Coturnix japonica: one gene and its partners. The protein of the gene in region 3 interacts with the protein of the main gene of each other region in a biochemical or structural test. Links are inferred from orthologs where the notes say so. Each region holds a gene or a part of one and is shown on either strand. Other genes may lie near its edges.

Evidence for each region.
Region 1: of the proteins of MAP3K5 (region 3) and MAP2K6, one has a biochemical effect on the other in vitro, tested with the Homo sapiens proteins (8 studies listed by BioGRID, with this or other methods). The link is inferred for Coturnix japonica from reciprocal best matches to the Homo sapiens genes MAP3K5 and MAP2K6.
Region 2: the proteins of MAP3K5 (region 3) and CIB1 form a complex in vitro, tested with the Homo sapiens proteins (2 studies listed by BioGRID and IntAct). The link is inferred for Coturnix japonica from reciprocal best matches to the Homo sapiens genes MAP3K5 and CIB1.

What each region holds. Positions count from the first base shown.
Region 1 is NC_029533.1:6,290,456-6,297,935, forward strand, and holds the start of MAP2K6 (dual specificity mitogen-activated protein kinase kinase 6), read right to left. Parts: upstream 3,815-7,480; 5' UTR 3,489-3,814; coding exon 3,473-3,488; intron 1-3,472. UniProt on the Homo sapiens protein: Dual specificity protein kinase which acts as an essential component of the MAP kinase signal transduction pathway.
Region 2 is NC_029525.1:18,187,442-18,194,858, reverse strand, and holds CIB1 (calcium and integrin-binding protein 1), read left to right. Parts: upstream 1-3,603; 5' UTR 3,604-3,683; coding exon 3,684-3,734; intron 3,735-3,943; coding exon 3,944-3,978; intron 3,979-4,316; coding exon 4,317-4,419; intron 4,420-4,775; coding exon 4,776-4,929; intron 4,930-5,150; coding exon 5,151-5,269; intron 5,270-5,346; coding exon 5,347-5,435; intron 5,436-5,675; coding exon of another isoform or gene 5,676-5,697; exon of another isoform or gene 5,698-6,031; coding exon 6,032-6,104; 3' UTR 6,105-6,342; downstream 6,343-7,417. Other genes in the region: tubulin polyglutamylase TTLL6, read right to left, coding at 1-119, 1,530-1,570, 2,014-2,162; GDPGP1 (GDP-D-glucose phosphorylase 1), read right to left, coding at 2,274-3,365. UniProt on the Homo sapiens protein: Calcium-binding protein that plays a role in the regulation of numerous cellular processes, such as cell differentiation, cell division, cell proliferation, cell migration, thrombosis, angiogenesis, cardiac hypertrophy and apoptosis.
Region 3 is NC_029518.1:49,742,293-49,749,108, forward strand, and holds part of MAP3K5 (mitogen-activated protein kinase kinase kinase 5), read left to right. Parts: coding exon 1-20; intron 21-855; coding exon 856-962; intron 963-2,590; coding exon 2,591-2,761; intron 2,762-6,104; coding exon 6,105-6,217; intron 6,218-6,816. UniProt on the Homo sapiens protein: Serine/threonine kinase which acts as an essential component of the MAP kinase signal transduction pathway. Plays an important role in the cascades of cellular responses evoked by changes in the environment.

The DNA of each region.
Region 1 (7,480 bases), on a different chromosome or scaffold from region 3:
TTTACCTTAGCAGCTAATGTGTGTGTCACAGGAGGGAATTCACCCCAAAGGAAGGTCTGCTTTTTGGGAACTGAAGGTTAACAAACGAGCACCACTTGGTGTGGTAGTGAGAAACCTAAGAAGAACCACAACCGTGGCTTTACTCCTTTCCCACTGCAACGTATCGCTTTTATTGCTATAATTGCTCATATAGTTCAAGCTTTTTATATGCTTGATGGTTTCCTGTCCCCGCCGAGCCCCGGGGAGCATTGCCCTCCTGCAACAATGCTGCAGGAACATGGGTGCAGCACACCCCAAGGTGCAGCTCCATCCTCAGGGCAATGCCATGGGAGCAGCAGAGCAGCACCACGAGGTGCAGGGTGCACAATTTCCCCCTTGCTCAGCTGCACGGTGCAGTTGTTTGGCTGAGATCAGACGCTAAACAAGCCCAGCTTCCCTCAACCTTTCCTTATAGGAGAGGTGCTCCAGCCCTCAAAAGTGCTTAACGCAGGCATATCCTATCACAAAAAGTGGCATAAACGAGTCATGCAATGGGGTCAATGCAATTTGCATTGTCAGATAGCCGTTCAGCAAGTTCTTTAAAAAAAAAAACAAACTAACACCATACAACTTGAGCTGAAATGGGTTGGTTTGCAGCCAGACCCGGCCCTGTTCAGTCCATGCCAAGTGCCTGTGTCATGGCACACACGGAGCGCTGAGGTGGTGCTGACGAAGCAACTGCGCGTTGCACAACGCGGTGCTCATGGGTCAATTCGCTACGAGCAAAGACCTGCTGCTGCCTTCCCCACAGCTGTTGTTTGGTTTTGTTTGGAAAAGAAAACGTCCACCATGTTGGATTCGCATTCTTTCCGTTGTAATGTCCAGGTGGAAAACGGGAGCTCTCCATGCAATGCAGCGCGGCGGAGAGGTGCAGAGCCTTTGATCAAAGTCCATAGGGTACGCGTTCAGCAGCATCACGTGGGCCGTGGTTCTCACTATTGCTGTTCCCTTTGCAGCTGGAGAGCAGAAAGGTGAATCTGAAGCAACAAACTGTGAGAAGTGGGAAGCAGATCATTGTGCAGCCGTATTTCGTGGTTAAGTGGAGTTTGTGCCCATGAAGTATTTATAATTAGTGCTCTAATAGCAACTGCTCCCCTTCCTTTCCTTATTTCTGGGCAGAACGCTGTGTGTTTGCAGGTGCTTCTCCAACATGGGCTTCTCCAGGGAATACTTCCCCATCACGATACATTTGGAAGACACCCAAACATATCCACTGCCACGAAGGTTCAGATTTACAGCATCAAACCATGCTGAGCTTGCTGTGAACGTGACCTTCCATATAGTTGTTCCAGAAGATCATCCCATTGGTGACAGCCAAAGGCCCCACTGCTCCCAATGGGACTCCAGGCCAGGTCTCAGCAGTGCAACAGGTGGGAGCAAACTGCTGCAGTTCCTCCATCCAACCCAAAATATCCCTTTGCAGCTTGAAAGAGGAATGGCAGAAATGTGCAGGCAGTGGAAAGCAGCACTTGGAACTCAGTGCTGGTGTGCTTTGGTGGCCACAAAACATTGAGGAGCCCAGCAGGTACCGTGGCTGTGTAACACAGGGATGATGCTGAAAGCATCACTGCTCTCTGCTATGGGAAGGGCCAGAAGGAAGGAGCTGTTTCTGAACTCACGGCCATATAAAAGTAGATCTCGCTGCACTGCACAGGTGTGGGGGCTGCAGAGTGCTCCTGCCTGGAGCCAGGCGAGATGCTTTGCAGGGAGGAGAGCTGTGGCAGAGCAGCCCCTCAGTTCCCACCTTGAGAGGGAGCACTGAAACATCCATTGCTGCCAAACAACTTTGGAGCAGGTTCAAAGCTGGGTAAGGGCTGTGCAGCCCAGCAGCTTTCTGCAGCCCTGCACAGCACTGCAGAGTGCTGACAAGGAGCCTGCTGTGCAATGCAAGACAGCTGCTCCAAAATGCAGATTTGGGCTGGTTCCGTTCATCCTAAGGAGCGGAGCAAACCTCTGAGCTCAAATCCTGCAAAACCAAATGGCTGAACACAGAGCAGCTACACATGGGGTTCCAGCATCAGATGAGCAGCAGAGCATCAGATGGGAGCAGAGCATGGATGGGCAGCAGAGTGCAGAACAGTGCCATTCACTGAGGCCACACTGTGGCTTGCCCACTCATTTTTTCCCACTTTCCTGGTACTGGAGCTGCAGGACATCCCTGTGGGTCCCTGCTGTCAGCAGCTCCATTTCCTCCCCATTATTATTGGGGGGTATCCCCAGCATGCAGCCGTCCCCCACTCACCCCCTGCCTTGCACTGGGACCCCCAGCGAGCAGCTCCGGGTCCCATCCTGCACAATTCCGCCCTATCAAACTCCCTTGGCTTGTCCTATTGGAAACTTTTACAATTCCCTGCCTGCCTGGAAAAGATGACTGCAGCAAACCCAAATTAGGAATAAATTATACAACAACTTTACATTTTTCTTACAAAGGAAAACTGCTGCCATGTCCCCCCAGCACTGGAAAGGCCACCAAAGGAGCAAAGCACAAAACGACCCGAAGTGAGCCCAACGTCAACCCGGGGGGGGGGGGGTTGCAACCACCCCCAGGCTGCAAAATGCATTGCAACAGCAAATCCACGCACTTCCAAAAGCTGCATCTGCGTGGCCTCTCGCTGATATATGTGCATTATTTCCACAATGAATGGCCACAGCGGCAGCTCCCCCAGCGCCTCAATTGCAATCCCCATGCAGGGACTATTGCATTCCCTCCGCATTTCTGCAATACCACCCCCCCCCTTTCACCGCCCCCCATGCCCCTCGCAGACGCTTTGCTATACCCCCCCATAGCCCCCCCTGCAGCCATCAAAGCGCTGCACCCCACGGCCCCGCTGCACGCTGCAAAAGTTACACATCTTATTTGGAGGGGAGGGGAGGGGAGGGGGGGGGGGAGATCGGTGGAAAAATGATCTCAGCCCTGGCACCAGAACAATACTTTCCCATGGAAACATAGGTATATATTTAATTCCTGGTAACTCCTCGCTCGAGTTTCACCTTTCATCTCGAGAACCCCGGAGTTGTGCAAAAGTTTCATTTCATTTTTTTTTTTTTTGCGCTGCAAATATCAGCTGCGGTTCTCCTGCACCGTGCCCATTTTTTGCATGCACACCACACGGCAGCGAATATGCATCTGCTCCTCCGCACCCTTCTCCTTGTCCTGACTGTGCAAAAGGCAGAAAGGGCTCCGTAATGCCCGCAGAAGAATTCAAATAACGTCAATGCACAGCTGAAGTGCGAGCCCTGCCTTACAGGAACTGTGTGTGTGAGTGTGTGTGTGGCTGCAAAAAGGCACATACTAAACAGGAAATGCAACTGAGAGCCATTGAAAGCCTCAAACTTCAAAATGCAATTGCATCCCGACAAAATGCATGCATGCACTGCAAAATGCATGCACGGCTTCTTGCATATTTGCAACGAACAGAAGTAGGAGCCTTACCTCTCGACTGAGACATTTTCCCCTTTGCTTTGATGGGGGAGGGGAGCACAAAAGACTTTGCCTTGCCTCTCTTCTGGAGCTAGTTTTGCAACAAAGATGCAAACTGCAAGCTCTCAATCTTCATGCAACTGGAGTTTTCCTGACTCTCGCTGCAGCAGCTCTCCTTGCAGCAAGGGGGGGGGCCGTGCAAATTGCACACTTTGCAGGGCAGCTTTGCAGAGCGGGGGGTTTTTCCTTTCCCCCCCCCCCCTGCTTGCAGTGCTGGGGAAGGCTCTGCTGCACCTACATGATGGGCCAGGGCTGGCAGCTCGCAGCTCCAAACTTGGAGCTCGGGGGCGCAGTGCGCAGTCGCGCTGCCGACGGTCCGCCGCGCTCCCCTATGGGTGCTGTAGTCCCTGCAGACGCCGGCGTTCGCCTGCAGGGGGCGCTGCTGCACGGAGCGGAGCGGAGGCTGCGCGATATTGGGGGGGGGGGGTTATAAAGGGGTTGGGTTTTTGCACCCCCCCCCAATCCCAAATATCAATGGGGGTGCACCCTCGCATACATCCCTGTTTGCATCTCTCCGTGCATCTCTTCCTTCACCTTCCATGCATTTCTGCATGGAAGGAGATGCACTTCCATGCAGCCCTGCCCTCACCCCAGCATGCATCCTTCCATCAGTCCCTCTGTGCATCTCTTACTTCAATCCTCAACGCATATTTCCACACGCATCCCTGCACACATCCTTGCTTGCATCCCTGCCTCCACCTCTATGTGCATCCCTATGTGCATCCCTGCCTGTCATCCCTATGTGAATCCTTTTAATCCACCACTCTGTGCATCCCTGCATCCATCTCTGCCTGCATCCCTGCCTCTGTCTCCTCCTCCCACCCGCAGCCCTTCCAAGCTGTGCAAAAAAAAAAGAAAAAAGAAAAAGGCCATTTGTCTCCTGAGGTCTTTTAAGCGATTTATTTATTCATTTATTTATTTATTTATTTATTTTGACGTGAGTTGCTGGCTGCTGGTTTGTTTACAGCGAAGCACCTCGCTTTGCTGTGCAGCAATTAAATGCAGAGAGCAAACGTTGTAGCAAAACAAAGAGATGGGCTCTGGAATGGCACAGAGCTGCAGGAGGAGCTTGAGGTGCGCCCTGTGCAAAAGTTGGAGTCCATAAGGCTGAACAAAATGCTCTGATTCCAAAATCTGTGCCTGCCCTTATTGTTGTTAAAAACTTGATAATCATATCATAGATTTGCACTGAAGTGTGCATTTGTTTGCAGGCCGTGCTTTGCTTGGGGCACTGGGGAGCCTTCCTGCTTTCCCCTCTGTGAGTCTCCTCTTGCAGCGGTTGCTTCCCCGCTGTGTTTCTATTATGGACACCTCGGGGTCAGGTAAATGCATCACCTCCTGAATGCATCATCACCTGAATACATCATCACGTCCTGAATGCATCACCTCCTGCTGCTGGGTTGCATCCCACCCAGCAGAAGATGCAGAGCACATTGAGGGCCCTGTGGGAAATGCTTCTAATGGGGCAAAAGGGCTGTTCAGCAGGGAAGGAGATGGAGCCAAACAGTGCTGCAGATGCCGAGGAGGAGAAAAATGCTTTTGGAGAGAGGAGGTGAGAAACAATGAGCGTGAGCTCGGCCATCTGCTCCCCACGGCCTGAATGGTGCCGGGCGATACCCCGTGTTCCTTTGTTCCCTAAATTAAAGGGAACTGCAAGCTGTGAGCAGGCTGAAAGCCTCTGGGCTCAGCCACACTGTGTCTTTTGTCTGCTCTGCTTCTGCCACTTGCTTCTCCATCATTTTTGCTCTCGTGCTGAGAGTTTTCCCACCCCAGAGCTTACGTGGGAGGGAGAAACAGGGGAACACTACATCCAGTGCTGTGGCACTCAATGTGCAGAGGGGTCAGTGCCCCACGACAACCTGCAGCACATAGAAGTGTCCGAGGCCAGTGTGCAAAACATGCTCACAAATCAATAACCAAAGAAATAATAACAGAATCATCGAATCATGGAGGTTTGAAAAGACCTCTCCAAGCCCAACCCCAGCCCACCCTCACTGTGCCCACTGACCACATCCCTCAGTGTCACATCTCTATGTCTGGACCAAGTGCAGGGGCAGTGACCCCACCACTCCCTGGGCCAATCCCTCCCCCCATTGCCTGAGCTGCAGTTCTGAGCTCTGCAGGTAGGACATAATGAGGAGCACTTCGAATTAAGTATGAAAAGAGACCACAACAAACACCAAAGTGACCAGAACTCAGCTCCAGACTTCTGTGCAGTTTGATGCTCATTGGATGATGATAAGAAGTTCATTCTTCTTGTTGAAGCTCAAGATATGATGCCCTTTATTTACTCACTCTTTGTTAAAGAAAACTGCAGGCATTATTTAAATAGAACACTTGAATTTATTGCTCTTCCATTCCTTTCCCTTCCCTTCTTTTGCAAGACATATCAGCTTATCACCAATAAGGCATAGATGTATAGATATACATATATAAAGGTATGTCGATATGTCAATATGCACATGCAGAGATGCAGAGATACAGAGGTGTGTAGTTCCAATCTGTGCCTTGTGCTAAGTATCATACTGGCACACAAATAAAGGTACAGTGCTGGGAGCTGCTGCTCTGAGTGACATTTTCAGTGCTTTTGTTCTGTTCCTGATCATGCAATAAAACGACAGAAAGTTCCAGAAGCAGACAGGGAGCTCAACACTGGGGCTGTTATGGGGGTTCCCACTCTGCCATGAAGCTCCAAGGGGGGACCCCCACCCACAACCCCCCATTCAGGATCTCCTCTCCAGAACTCTTCAAATCAGAACCCCCCAATTAGACCCCCCCTATCCAAACCCCTCCATCCAAGATTCCCCCCTCCCACCATCAGAGCCTATCGAGAACACCCCCATCCCGAATACTCCTATCAAGAACCCTCCCATCTAGGACCCCATCCATCCCCAACCCCTCCACCTGAGACCCCACCCCCACGCACAACCACCCCCTCCCATCAAAACTCCCCCCACCCACAAACTCCACCCCTTATCCCGAACTCCCTCCCTGCTCCATCTCCAGCCCTGTGGGGTGGTTCCGTTCCTCCAGCTCCTCCCCGGGGCGGTAGCTCCGGGTTGCCCGGCCCCACGTTGCGTCCCCGGGCTGGGCCGGGTCGGTTCGCTGGGTACCGCAGGTACGGAGAGACGGTGATAACACCGGGGGAGCGGCCTCGAGGTGCGGAAGGGTAAGGCGGAATGAGGGGGAGGTGAGGAAAGGAGGAAGAAATATATATATATATTAAATGGGGGGGGAAAAAAGGAAGGGGAGAAAAAAGAAAAGGAAGGAAGAGGAGGAGTTTTCTTGCACCTGTGTCCGCCGCTTCTGTGTAGCAAATGGTGTTTGTTTATTGCGGTGTGTTTGGTGTTTGTTGTATAGAGGGGTAGAAGGGGATGCGGGTTCTGCGATGCTCTGCGGGGCTGAGCCTGTATGTGTGGACATCAGAGCGCTGCCAGGCCGATGTTTGAGCTGCGGGGACCCTTCCTGAGAGGCACTGCTGGTTCTTTTCACCCTCTAAAAAGCACTAACGCTTCCTACGTGCAATTAATTAGGAAAGCAGCGATTACCCTGGGATTGCTTTGGCTGAGATGCCCGCAAGGAGCCGTGTTCCAACTGCTTCTGTTAGTGCAGCGCCTGGGGATGTTTGCGGGCTGAGCCTTTTCCTTCTGTGCAGTGCTGTGTTCCAATAGAGATGCCTTTGCTTCTCCTTGCCCTGGGGGCTGTTCCGTCCCCCCACCCCCTCCAGCTCCATAGCGCTGTGCAGCACGTCGGGGGATGGCAGATTGCAATGCCAAGAGATAAATGAGCATTTTTCTCCCTCCAGCCCAAGTGGTGTGAATGGAAGTATGGAAGAGTTCAAGCGAAGACGTGGAGTTACTGTGGTTTTTTATTATAATTATTTGTATTAGAGGATAAAACGTAACTAAAGGAGCAGTAAATGGCCTTAGAGATTGATTCCTATCCAATCAGCTTGCCATG
Region 2 (7,417 bases), on a different chromosome or scaffold from region 3:
CTGAAACCGTTTCATTTCCATAACACGTTCCAGAGAGACTGAATTGTCAGTCCAATACACCGTCCAGTCCTCGTTTTCTCCCACTTCTTTCAGCCCACAGCACAGTGCAGCACGACGCACTGTATGGAAGGAAGCACACGACAAAGGTCCGGGAAGAAAATACAAATGCCAGGGACAGTTAAATTCCAAGTAAACAGGAGGGTGGGCAGAACCCTTCAAGCTGCACTGCCACACACAGGGGTGACAAGGTCTAGGCAGGACCCTTCAGGAGATCTCAGAAACACAAACTCTACCCAGCTAAACTTGCCACAGCTTCTGCCTGCAGGTACACTGGGAACCATCAGCCCTACAAGTCCCCTTGCCTTGGGGTTCTAGATTACAGTAGGCTTAGAATCTGCCCTGGGTTTGATGCCACGCAGCTAGATACAAGTCTTTGAAAGGTGTTAGTTTCACCTTCAAAATCAAAGGCTAACCAGTAACAGAATGCACGAGCTTTGGAGTGGAAGGTTGTTGCTGGAACGATTAGTATTGGTGCCGATTCTGAATTTGTTCTCTTACAGAGCTGGGGAGCTGCTGAAGGAACCATGCTATGAAACTGGAGGCAGTCAGAAAACGCAAGGGCAGCTCTAAGTCAGAAACCTCCATCTTTCCACACACCCACAGCCACGTGGCCCAAACTGCCCAACAGCCCACATGCTATTGAGGCTGTTAGAGCCCTCCTCTATCACAACCCAGCCACCATGTGTTGTTGACTCGTTGCTCATTCTGGGCTGACCAAGCACAGCACAGCAGCACCACAGAGAGCAGCCCTGGGCACCAGAGCTCTGGAGGTGGGCAAGAAACTGTTCTGGTTCCTATGGAGCTCACATTGCCACGCTCTGTCGTGGATCGTCATCCACCTCCCATCCCCAATGTGCCTGAGCATGGCCGCAGGGGAAACACGTGTTGCTCTGGGTGGGAACAGCATTCCTCACACAGCTGACAAGACTGTGACCTTTAGCGATGCAAACATGGCAGTAATGCTAGGATAGTCATTAGCAAATTGACTAATGACATCCATCAAATTGTTCTTTTGAGAAAGGGCTTGTGGCAGCAATGAAGAGCGAGACAGGAGCGTGGAGCAGCCACCTAGAGCATGTCATTGGAGGTGAATATCAAAGAGATACTGCAGGCACTGATCCAGCCTGCTGCACCACCTGCTTCAGCTTGAACTGATGGTAGCTTTCCATTTCCCTAAGCACAGGTCGTGCATTGTAACCATCTCTGGCAAAACTCTTCTCACCAATTTTAGCAGGAATGTGGGTCATACAGATGTACAGGGTGATGAGGGCTCGCAGTGCTGCACAGTTTGGGTCTCTTTAAAGCATGAAGCTCCTCAGCCCAAAGTGTAGAATGTTCACAGGGATTCAAGTCACTTACAAACACGTAACACACAAGTGACTCTGCAGCAGAAATGCAGCGCTCCTTGCTGGCTGAGCAGCCGCCTGCACGGCTCGATCCAAAGGGACGCGACGCATCCTGCGACTTACCGCTCTCGTACCTGCAGCTGGTCAGGTTAATGGATGGGGCGCTGGAATTGAAAGACACAAGAGCTGCTCAGTGAGACCAGACGGCGACAAAGGGGAGCGGACACGAACAGCTGCCTCGTGCCACACTCGTGTTACCCAAACCCCGCAGTGTCACTGCCCAGTGTGACCCACTGCCATGGGCCACGTGCCAAGTGGGTCCCGAGCCCGTGTCCGTGCTCTGGGGGCTGCCCCACCCTCGGGGTTATTTCCACCCTCGGTGTTATTTATTTCCATCCCCCTCGTGCTCTGAGCCCCGTCGGATCCCGGTTCCGTTGGTTACAGTCCCGGCCACCCCCGGGCACGAGGCCCCGGACCCACAACAGACACATGACGGCGCTGCGCACACGGCCGGGCTTTATGTGCGGCACGGCCCGCACCGGGCACACGCGGGCGGATACACGGACGGACACGGACGGACACGGGCCGCCCCCCCCGCCGCACTCGCCTGCACTTCTTGCGTTTCTTCCGCGCTCTGGGGCTGCAGGCGGCAGCTCTGGGCTCCATCCCGGGGGCAGCGGATCCGCTCCGAGCTGCCGCCCCCCGCCCGCCGCCCCCGGCCTCCATGGCGCCGCTCGAGCCCGCCGCCGTTCCCATGGCGACGAGGCAGCGGTCTCCGCTCGACCATAGAGAGCTCGGCCCGGCCGGCTAGAGCGGCGCCGGGCCGGTCACGTGTCCGCGTTCGCCATTGGTCGGCTAGAGCGGCGCTCAGTCCTCCAGCAGCCGCGCCAGGTCGGCGGCGAGGCGGCGCATTTCCGGTTCCGGCAGCAGGGGCTGTCGGATGGCGCGCAGCGCTTCGGCCTCGCTCAGTCGCTCGAAGGCCGCGGCCGAGCGCAGCGGGAGGAACCCGGCCAGCTCACACAGCGCCACGGCCAGCACCGCGTCATCCGCCTCGGGCTCGAAGTTCGGCCTGCGGGGCCACAGCAGCAGCCGCAGCCCCGAACCGGGACCGGGCCCGGCCGAGCCGTCCGGCGGGGCGCCCCGCGTCACGAACACGTTGTAGGCCAGGCCCAGCGCCAGCAGCCGCTCCGACACCCGACACGCGTCACGGGCCAGAGCGTCCAGCGCGTCCAGCCCCGCGCCCGGGGTGTAGAACAGCAGCGCCGGGGCCGGGACCCGCCACAGCACATGGAGACGGTCACGGAGCGGCTCGGCCGGAGCCGACTCCACCAGCAGCGGGTGCGGCAGGTCCAGGCCGTGCAGGTGCAGGTGGTTGACGGACGCCGAGGCGCCCAGGCTGTTGAAGCCCACGCGGAAGCCGGGCCGGGCGCTGAGCAGCACGAGCTGCAGCCCCGCCAGCAGCAGCTCCGGGGTGAGGCGCTGCGGCAGGAACAGCCCCGGCTCCGGCAGCAGCAGCACGTGGCCGCGCAGCAGCGGGCTGACGTTAATCGCCACCAGCAGCTCGGCCGGGGCCGCTCGGTCTCCGTGTGTCGATGTTCCCCGGCGCAGCCGCAGCAGCAGCTCCCCGGGCTGGATCTGCGTGAAGTTGAAGTGCCGGGCGCTGAACGGCTCCGTCACGCTGCGAACCTCCTGCGGCCGGCGGCGCAACGTGGCGCGCTGCACGTTGAGCTGGGCCAGCAGGCGCATGGGGCCGGGCAGCACGCGGGTGGGCGGCTCCCGCAGCCGGTACCGGAACAGGCCCCGCTCCTCGCGCTCCTGCCAGGCCTCCAGCAGCGCCCGGTCGAAGCGGGACAGCGCCGTGCTCGGCCACGCCACGCCGTCCAGGATGAACTCATCCTCGTGGTACACGAACTCCTCGGCTCCGAGCCCGTCCCGGTGCCCGCTGTCCCGCACTGCCATGCCCGGTGCCGCCTGGGACCTGACAAAACGGAACGCGTGCACGACTTGACCGCCGCCCCCAGCGCCGCCCTCCGCCCCCAGCGTCCGTCCCGCCGCGCTCGCTGTGCCCCGGCCCCGGGTCCCGACGATCCCCCACCCCATTACACCCCATTACACCCCATTACACCCCATTACACCCCGTCACACCACCCACCTCCGCTCCCAGCGGTGCCGCGCGGGGCCGGGGGCGGCGCTGCGTGCAGCGTGTTCCCACCCCGGGGCGGGACGTTGCCACGGGAGCGGCGGAGTGACGTGCGGGGCGGAAGCGGCGCCGGCGACATGGGGGGCTCCAGCAGTTTGCTGCCACGGGAGGCGCTGGGGGAGTACCAGGTGTGGGGGGGTACGAGGTATTGGGGCTGGAGTCCCAGGTTGGGGGGAGCCCCGTTGTCGGAGGTCCGAGGGGGGTGACCGAGGGATGGGGAATCTGCGGTCCCGTGTCTGGGGCAGCTCCCGGATCGGTGGGACCCGGGGAACGGGAGGAGTCCGGGGCGGAGCAGCTCCCCTCGGGGTCCCCCCGTCTGACCGCGCTCTCCCCGCAGGAGCTGACGTTCCTGAACAAGCAGGAGATCCTGCTGTAAGTGCCGGGGCTTGGCGGGGGGGGCTCAGCGCTGGCAGCTGCTCCCCGTTGGGGGGTGGGCGGGCAGCGCCGGGACGGGCCGTTTCCGTGACCCCGGGGTGCGAAGTGCGCGGGTGCGGCTCCCGGTCCGAGAGAGACAGAGACAGAGACAGAGACAGAGACAGAGACAGAGACAGAGGCTCCGGACCTGCCGGTGCTGCCGGGGGCCGCCCGCTCCCGCACAGAGCAGCCCTTGTTTTCACCTCAGACAGAGACAGAGACAGAGGCTCCGGACCTGCCGGTGCTGCCGGGGGCCGCCCGCTCCCGCACAGAGCAGCCCTTGTTTTCACCTCAAGTGCCTACAAGAGGTTCAGTGAGCTGCTGCCCAGGGAGCAGAGGGACAACGCCCGCTCCGTGCGCGTTCCCAAGAGCCGGATCCTGACGCTGCCGGAGCTGCGGGTACGGTACCTGGAGGGGGGCTGGGCAGGATCACCTGCTGAGCACAAACCGTGCTGGGAGCGCTCCGTGCTCACCGTGCAGCACCGGGGATTGCTTCCTCGGCCCTGTGCAATGCAGCCACACAGCCCCGTGTGGTGGCACAGCCCCGTGTGATGGCACAGCCCCGTGTGATGGCACAGCCCCGTGGGTGGCACAGCCCCGTGTGATGGCACAGCCCCGTGTGGTGGCACAGCCCCGTGTGATGGCACAGCCCCGTGTGATGGCAGGGCTGTGCTGGGCCGAGATCAGAGCTCAGCTCTGCTCAGCTCCTCGTGGGTCAGTGCCCGCCCTGCACTGAGCCCTCCCCATCTCTGCAGGCAAACCCCTTCCAGCACCGGATCTGCCACGTGTTCTCCACGTCCCTGGACAGGGATGACAGCATGTCCTTCGAAGACTTCCTCGACATGCTGAGCGTCTTCAGTGATGCTGCCACCTCAGATATCAAATCCCACTACGCCTTCCGCATCTTTGGTAACCCTGGGTGTGATGTGGTGTCCTGGGATCCCACCCAATGGCGGGGGACAGGCGACAAGGGCTGGCAGTGCCTTCATTGTGCCCACGGGGCAGCTTTGGGGGCACCCTCTGTACTTGGAGCTGCCGTGCCCACGTGTTGTCCCAGCCCCCTCCCAGCGTGGGTGCCTGTGACCTGAGTCACGGGGGCCCCACAGAAAGGTACTTTCTTCTGCCCAAAGACTTTGACGATGATGGGGTCCTGGACAGAAAGGACCTGGAGAAGCTGGTGAACTGCCTGACAGGGCAAGGCGAGGAGTCACGGCTGAGTAACACTGAGATGGAGCAGCTCATCCGTAATGTGAGGACCCGAGCTGGGCAGGGAGCGCTGCATGGTCCCAGCCCTGGTGAGCTCACTGCTCACTGCCTGTCCTGCAGGTCCTGGAGGAGTCTGACATAGACAAGGATGGGACCATCAACCTCTCTGAGTTCCAGCACGTCATCTCCCGCTCCCCAGACTTTGTCAGGTACGTGGCTTCCAGCAGCTCAAGGGGCCCCAGGGGTCAGCCCACCCTGCTGCTGTGCTGGCTTTGAGGCAGCACTTACCAGAGCAGCAAGGCAAGGCCACCCCTTAGAAGTTCCCACAGGAACTTCCTCCTGCACTGTACTCACCTATGCAGGAGCACAGCACATCCACAGAGTGCTGGTTGCTCACAAACCACTTCTCATGCAGCAAGGAGGTGCAGAACATGTCGTGTCTCTTACAGCTCCTTCAAGATTGTCCTGTGAGGGCCCTGTGGCTCTCCTGCAGATCTGCTTCTCCAGCTGCCGCGTCTCTTTGTTATCTCAGATGTTCCCTCTTCTTCTGAGGAGAGCAGCCAAGGCCCTGCTCCTCCCCAGCCTGGCAGTGCCGCACTGTGCTCTAGGGCAGGACTCTGCTCCCCCAGTGCCTGGTGGGCTCAGTTACAGGTGTCCAAACGGCCCCGTGAGGCTCCACCGCAGGCAGCAGCTTGGCTGTCCCAGCAGCACATTTTCACCCCACACAAGCACAGCTCTGCGGTGTGTCAGGGCAGGCACAGAGATGCCGCACTGCATCGAGCACAGCCCCTCTCACCACCCACAGTACCATATGTGCCTTCTGCTGCTCTTCCACGGGGCTTTCCTGCACCCTGGGGAGCAGTTCCTCCAAGCAATAACCCAATTGAACTTTGGATGTGCCATCCCAGCAGTGCTGTCCCTTTGCTGCCCTGGGGCGTGGGGGCTGTGCTCCTTGCTCCAGCACCAATACACTCAGGGTCTGTTCTCACTTTCCAGTTCTTTCCTCTCTGCCTTAGGCTCATGCTCAGCCAGTGCTTTGCCTGGAGCAGGCAGGGCCTGGCCCCCTTCCTTTGTGCGCTGGAGAGGACAAATAAAGGGCTCTGGTTTCACCCCCAACCTGGTCCTGCTGCCAGTGGCCTTTGTCTCGCGCGGGGGGGAGGAGCGGGGTGTGAGCGCTGCAGCATCAACTGCCAAGAGGGTGCTGGGGATGTGGCCCCCCGCCAGCCCCCTGCCCTGAGCCAGCTGCAGCTCTTGGGAACGGGGTCCCAGTTCAGCAGGGAGGCAGCTCCTAGTCCTGCTGGGGAAGCAGCTTGCTGCATGATCCCCCCCTCCTTGGGAGAACCAGAGGCCGTTCCCAGCGTGCTTAGCAGGCACTGCACAAAGAGCTCTGCTCTCTAACAGGAGGCACAAAAGGAAATCCAGGGCAAGCAAGCTGTACCTTTGCTGTGGGCAGCGCAAGGGCCCTTTGTGTCTGTTCATCCAGCGGGCCTGGTGCTGGCTGGCTGCCATCTGGGAACGCTCTGTGCAGGGAGCCCGCAGCATTCCCTAACAGCACCATGCTGAGATGGCTGCAGTGCCCGGTGCTGCTGGATCCCCAGCCCCAGCTTGCAGCTGTTTCTCACGTCCCGGCTGCTTGCTCCCAGCAGTGCAGGCCCTTCCAGCTCGCTGCCCTGCAGTGATGATGCTTATCTGCCTGCTGCAGCCTGCGGGGCCATGTCTGCTGGCACGGCACCAGCCGACGCCTCCGGTGGCTTTTTTGATGTCCCAGAACAGGCTGGGCAGGAAGTGGGGAACACTGTCCTGGCAGGAGCGAGGCAGTGCGGGTCCCACGGCATCCTGCCCCAGCACGCTGCCTTGGTGCAGAGCTTGCTGCTTCCCAGGCACGAGGCAGATAAGCAGCACTGTGCTCTAGAGCTGCTTCTCTACATCATTCAAGCGGGGCCTCAGAGCAGCAGAGCACTGCAAACCCTACGCTGGGGTCGCAGGGATGCTGTTCTGGATCTGCATGCTGGCACAGCCACACACACAGCCCCATGCACCATCACACCCACCCCGCACACGGCCGTGCATGCCTGGCCCACAGGAGCCAGCCAACGGGATGTGCCCAGCTCTGGGAAGGGGCCCTGGTCCCACACTTGCAGGCGCAGCAGCACACACATGTACAAAGGAAACACCTGGACTTTAGGTAAAA
Region 3 (6,816 bases):
TGTCCTACAGAGACATCCAGGTATGTATCTTCTGCTCAAAGACAATCCATCCAAAATGGGATAGATTTAATTTTTGGTGGAATTCTAGTGTGTTTTGCACACATTTTCTGAGAAACTATATAAATAATGCACACCAGTAAAAAAAATTGTTACAGTATCTTCACCGATGCTCTTTACTTCTGGTTATGTTGTTGATAGTGTACTTTCACATAGCTGAAAAGATGTTACAACAGCACCTAAAAAAATATGTAACGTACATCATGTCTCCATGTCAGCATTGCTACATGACAGACAGCCTGTAGTGTGCCCTACTTAAAGGCCATGGTAGCGTTCTGCTATTGATGTGTTCGTGTTCTGACTGCGAGCTATATCACCATGCATATGACATTTCTCTCGGCGACATAACATGTTTGTATGCACTGCAGCTTCTCTGAATGGTACTAGTAATTGCTCGCTTTATTATACATAGTTTCAATTGTTGCTTCTTAAGTGTTTTTAATTTTTGCTTGTGTCTAGTGCTTACCTTGAAGAGTTTTGGAGTACTTCAATACAGACGCAGTTAGTATTATAATTTCTACCTGATATGAACACTGATATATGTTCAGCCCTGAAGCTAACTTGTATTATGAAACATGGAATGGGAAATTTCAGTATGTATATTTAAGCAGTTCAGGAATCCAAATCGTGTTAAGTGCTCTGTTTATTTGCAACTCTTAGTGCCAAGCCATTTATAGTTTCAGAGTGAGGAATGTAAGATCCGGTATGAAATACCAGCTCCTTAGTTCAAAGAAGAGTTTGTATAGGCATACTTCAGTACAGCTGCTTAAAACTTCATTGTTCCTTTCTTTTTGGAAGGATTACGATTCCATTGTGAAACTGGTGAAAACTTTAGAAAAACTGCCTACTTTTGACTTAGCTTCCCACCACCATGTGAGGTTACATTATGCGTTTGCACTGAACAGGTAAGACTCTACCTTTCCTACTACTGTCAAGTAGTAAATCAATACCACAAACTCAATGTGTGGCTGATAATCCTGGTTATAGGTCCCTACTGGAATCTTTGTATACAGGTCTAGGGTTCTCACTGTAGCAGTTCTGGGGACTCTTGACCTTCATGATGAGTTTGAGCTTCCTTTTCCTTTCATACTGCCAAATTGCTTTCCTCTTCCTTCTCTGTGAGTGTCTGTTTTTATTTATTTGTCTTTCCATAGATCTGCATCAGCATTTGAGTTTTTCACTTCAGTGTCTGAGTCTGTAAAAGTAGAATACACTTTTAACATCGCTATTGCCTGACAGCATTGTAGCATTTGTGCTGAGTTAGACATCCTCTCATTCAAGTCTGAGTTCTCCTATTGTCAGGAGACAGGAGAAAAACTTCCATGAAGTCATATTTACTGTGTTACAGTACACATTTTTTTTTTTTTTCACATTCTCCAATAAATAAATAAATAATGTGCAGTGTGTCACATACAGCAACATGCATCACTTCTTTGAGTTAAATGGGAGCTAGGCTCTTGTGCTTTTTTGCTTATATTGTGATTTTTCTCAGGAATCTGAAATACTGGCAATTGAGGATGGCATTAAAGAGGGAATTTTCCAGTGGAAATTGCAGATTTTCTGATCCCTTGGTGTTATCACAGCAAAGATTGCCCTCTGATGTTTAGAGGAGCAGACCAAGTGTCAGCAGGCAGTGCAATTCTCAGATATATGTAGGTTGCTCTAAAAGTAATGCCTCCTATTGTTTTCCATGGAAAGAACAACAGATACAAATAGCTCAGTAGCACTGTTTGATAGAGCAAATTCTCAGCTACAAAACAGTATTTTTCAATATCACTGTTAGCTGTGCATTTTCACCATGCCATGTTTGTAAAAAAATCTGCACCAGTGGAGGTGACCCACTGTCACCACTGCTGAAACACACCACCCACCGTTTCACTGTGCTCACATCTGCTGTTTGGTCTCCATCAACGTTCAACAACTGTCAATAAAGGTTGGTGGGTGCCATTGTTTCTGCATGAGGGAGTTCATTGGCACCCCTTTGCTATAGTTCCATGTCAGATACCATTCTGTCAGACTACCCCTCTGCTGCCATCTTTCACACAGCAACAACATGTAGCAGAATGTTGGAGGGAAGGCTCAGCCTCTACTGCCATAGCACCAACAGCAACATCTGATATCATGAGCCATCTTAAGAGAAAACAGGAGACAGTGCTTTTGGAGCAGCCTTTGCATTGCTTTTTATAAATAAGTATTGCATGATCTCCCTAAGGATTGCTCTCAAAGCTATTCTTACTGCTGTTACTGCTTTGCGCTAGCTGATCGTGAGGGAGAAAACATGTTTGGGGGCTTTTATAAAGAAGGTTTTTTTTGGTAGTGATGTTTTTTAATCTTTGTTTTAAACATGTTTATAAAATAATCCATTGCACCTAGGAGTGCATTTTACATATATTTATATATTAGTCTGTAATCATATCTTTATTTAAAATCATGTATTTAATCTTTAAACGAATAACTGTATATTCAGATTGGTCACAAAAAGGTATTCCTTGTTAACACTATTATTTTTTATTGCAATATTTATTTTTAATAGACGAAATCTGCCTGGGGACAGACAGAAAGCTCTAGAAATTATGATTCCTTTAGTAGAACAAGAAGATCAAGTAGCCTCAGATATGTACTGCCTGGTTGGTCGCATTTACAAGGACATGTTTTTGGAATCTGGGTTCATAGATACAGAAAGCAGAGACAAAGGGACCTTCTGGTGAGTAGTGTCTTCCTGGTCTATGTGTTTTTCTTAGCTTTAGAAAACATTCCTTTAATGAGAACATACTTCAACTCTTTTTCATTCCAAATATTTTGTGTTCTTGATGGTTATGCTAAGTCTTCTAATCTGGGCCTCGCTTACTTGTAAAGAATGAGAGACTTATGTTGTCTGTACGTCAGCTTCCATGAAGCTCTATAAGTTCTTCAGAGCCTTGGAAGTTGAGGTAGCCCTCATCACAGCTTATCTTTCTCCTCTCTGTCAAATGTGAATTCTCTTGTTTTCTGCATTACATTTGGGAATCTGGTCCAGATATTATTCAGGCTTGAATCAATAGGCGTATCTGCAGCCTGGTAGATATTTACCAGCTATGCTTAAAGGTTCTAAAGTATAACTGTGCTGATGCGTAGAAAGTACCATTTTTGTCTTTTTTTTTTTTTTTTTTTTTGGCTTTCTTGCTGATGAAGAATATAAACTCATGCTCAGAAAAGGTTTATTACCTCATCATCACCATACCATGTCTGCGTATTACAGTGGACCACAGTACAAATTCTTATGGTACTTGCCTCTAAAATGATCGTTCTTTTTCCTTTGGAATGTGCTAAAATGCCAACTTTTATGTGGAATAGATTAAAAAAAATTCTTCTGTCTCTTGTCAGTGTCAGGCCTTCAATTTCCAAAGGAAACATACTTGAAATTGTAACATTAGATACTTTTGCCAGAGTGAGCTGTTTTTTTCCGTTACAGTCCAGAAAGAGAATATAGGTAAATACTTGTGCATATACTCCATATCAAATCCTAGTCCTGCTCTTGAGTTCATCAGCTAACTGTTGAAGTAATTGCTTAGAACTGAAAGCTTGATTCTCCTTCTCTCGTTTCACTTTTTTTCAGTAACCTTCAGATTTGAGTTGCCTTTGGTGAAATACATAATTATTCACCATCTGCAGTCATAGAATACACGTACAATTTCTAATTGTTGGTTATGTTTTACACTTTTGTAATGCTTACTGGACTCTTAAAATATACTGCAATAGCAGGAATGCAGCATGTTATTTCCCCCCCTTCCCATTTCATAATTTTGAATTAAAGAATTTATCTAAGCCAAAGCTCCTGTGAAATTTTCAAAATAGTTGTAAAATAATGTTTTGTTTAATGTTAGCTGATACAAAAAGTAAACTGTAGTCCTTATCCGGTACTAGGCATCACCATAGACAAAACAAATTAAATGAACTTACGTCTGTGATAGTGTATCTTGCTTTTTCCTCATTTGTACTGCTTTAAGAACAGATAAACTTTGAGATTTTCAAACATAATCAGGTGAGTTTATGTGTTTAGTAGGCAGAATTACTTACTAGGATGTTTCACACAGCTGTTTTAACATGCTTTTAATAAATGCATCTGTCAGTCATGTTGCTCATCTACCTTCATGAGGTGCAATGATTGCAGTCATAACAGTTTGGGGGAAGGAGAACAAATGCAGCTCTTGCCATGGGTAGGACACTGACAGGCCAGCTCTTCCATAATCCTTGAAGTCTTTGGTCAGTAAGACCAAACTGAAATGATCTGGAATTTGACTGGAACCTGTCCTGGGTGCGCCAGTTGCATTTTGTATGTACTTTATGTTGAATATTGATTTGAATACTCGTGTCAGTCATATGGCAGGCTTCATATGGCTGAAGGGTTGAACCATAACCTAATTGGTGGCCCTTGGCTGGGAGCAAAGCTACTACCAGTGCTGCACCCTGGCCTCAGCGGGGGCGGAAGAAGGTGTGTGCGGGAATGCCTCCACAATTGTATTAGTTTATGTCGAGATAAAGTTTATTATCTTTGTCTTAGAGAAATTTAGTGAATTGCATAAGATAGGAATTTGGCAGCAGAACCAAAGTGTTAGTTTTGCAACAGCTAATGATGTCAGGGTACTTTGTGCTGTTAGAGAAAAATAAATGCAGGAAGTGTGATTTTTCTGACAACTGAAATGTGGAGTAAAAGGCATCTGTGATAAAAAATATGAGACAAGAAATGAAAGTCTGATTGTTAACTGACACTTTCTTGTTGCATACTGACAATGTAAATCAAACTCACCAATGCTATCAATGCTTCTTTCAAATCCTTTTACTGCTACTCATCTTATTCAGTGTCTGTATTGCAACATTTTCCTAAATATCAGCTTTCAATTTTTTGGAGCCCCTTATAATGGAATTATCTAAGCCAACCTCTATCTTTAGAGGAAGACTTCTAAACCTGACTGCTTTTCTGCAAGACTGATTCCTTCTGTGTCATGTAGGGCTTGTCAGTGTGCACCAATTGCACCTGTTGAATTTAAACAAGTTCAGTTAGTGGATGTTAATTGAAAGTGGTTATTTTCATTTGTTGAAATAATTACAAGTTTTTCATTTTTATTTTTGTCTGTGAATTTCTTGTTGATTCTTATTGTTTTTTCTTGTGCATGTTGCAAAAATTATGTCACGGAGGATGCTACTTGTCAATTGAAGCTTAAAGAAGCCAAGGACTGAGTGTAGCAGAAGAAATAATCTCTCTGATCCTAGGAAATAATTTCTCCATCCCCCGTGGTTAGGGAATATGGCCTTTTTTTGTTGCCTGTACGCGACGCTTTGTTTTCAAATCAGTGCATTGTTTTTTGAGGGCTGTTCATCAATTGCTTCTGCAGGCAATAGCTTTTTTTGTATGCCTAAGTTCATCTCTGCCTCCTTTGCCTATATGTTTAACATTGTTGACAGCATGCGTGTTTCCACCTTTGGATGATGCACATTGGAGAAGTTTATTTTATTTATAAAATCTGAAGTTCTGTATTTGTCACTGAAATAGAGAAATTTGGGTACTCATGCCAGAAATGAGGCATTTGTGTGTCACTCGCTTCTGTGTTTATGTATTTTGATATGCTTATGTCACTGGGGCAGATCCATGATCTAAAGTCTCAAGTTAGTGAAAATCCATAAGAGGATTCCATTTAAGAGAAAATTAAAGAGTCCATTAATAAATATAACTGAAACAGGTCTTTTAAAAGTTGATAATACTATTTTTTTTTATCTCTGTGGAAAAACTGTGAATCCAGTAAGATACTAACTGTGCTGGGGTGGATAACCAGGGTCTGTTCTTGTGTAAAGGAAAATGAAAGAGGATGCATATATAAGTAACTAACTCTTAAGTAAGTAAGTCATTCCTAAAAATAGACAAAAAGCACGTACAGAAAACAATATTTTTGTTTCCATGGATTCTTGCTATGTAAACAGAAGATAAGCACCTACAGAACCTAAAAGTATAATTATGTCCCTACTAGATTGTGTTATTTGGAAAGCAAACTTGTATGTTTGTTTTTTTCCAGGTTCAAGAAGGCGTTTGAGTCAGAGCCAACACTGCAGTCGGGAATCAATTATGCAGTGCTTCTTCTGGCAGCTGGACATTGCTTTGATACTTCTTTTGAGCTTCGGAAAGTTGGTAATTACAGCTTGCAAATTCATAGTGAACTTGCTTTCTAGTGAAAGTACGACACGATCCATTGTCACAAGGGGGAAAAAAATCTGATGGTTGCATATGAGTTCTTCGACAATGAGTATGTGAACATCTAAGTCAGTGTCCTCAACCACCACTGATCCCACCTGGCTGAGAGTGAGCACTGTCATGATGACCTGATTCCAGGATGAAGGTCTTAACAGGTTATCAGAACCTAGTGAAAACTGGCAGCCCTTTTTTGCAGTGATGTCTTTTTTTTTTTTTCTTTGAGAGCCAGAAGGAAGGAACGCCTTAAGGGGGAGTCCAGATCTGGGGAAAAAAATAATAAAAAAAATAAAACAAACAGAAAACACCTACGGATCAATAGGAAATACGGGCAAAAAAAAATTGAGTGGTCAGAATGCGCTTAGATTGAGATTGGGGTAGGTTAAGAGAAGAAAGAGCTACACTTCTCTTCAGATGCTGTTTTTGAGGTTTTTTTGAGCTTTGGTGGTCCACTTTGTGATTTTGATTGGTGGGTCTGCTGTATTTGAAGAGAATGCAAAGTCAAACTGGTTTAGAAGTAAGGTGTGTGGAGTATCTCT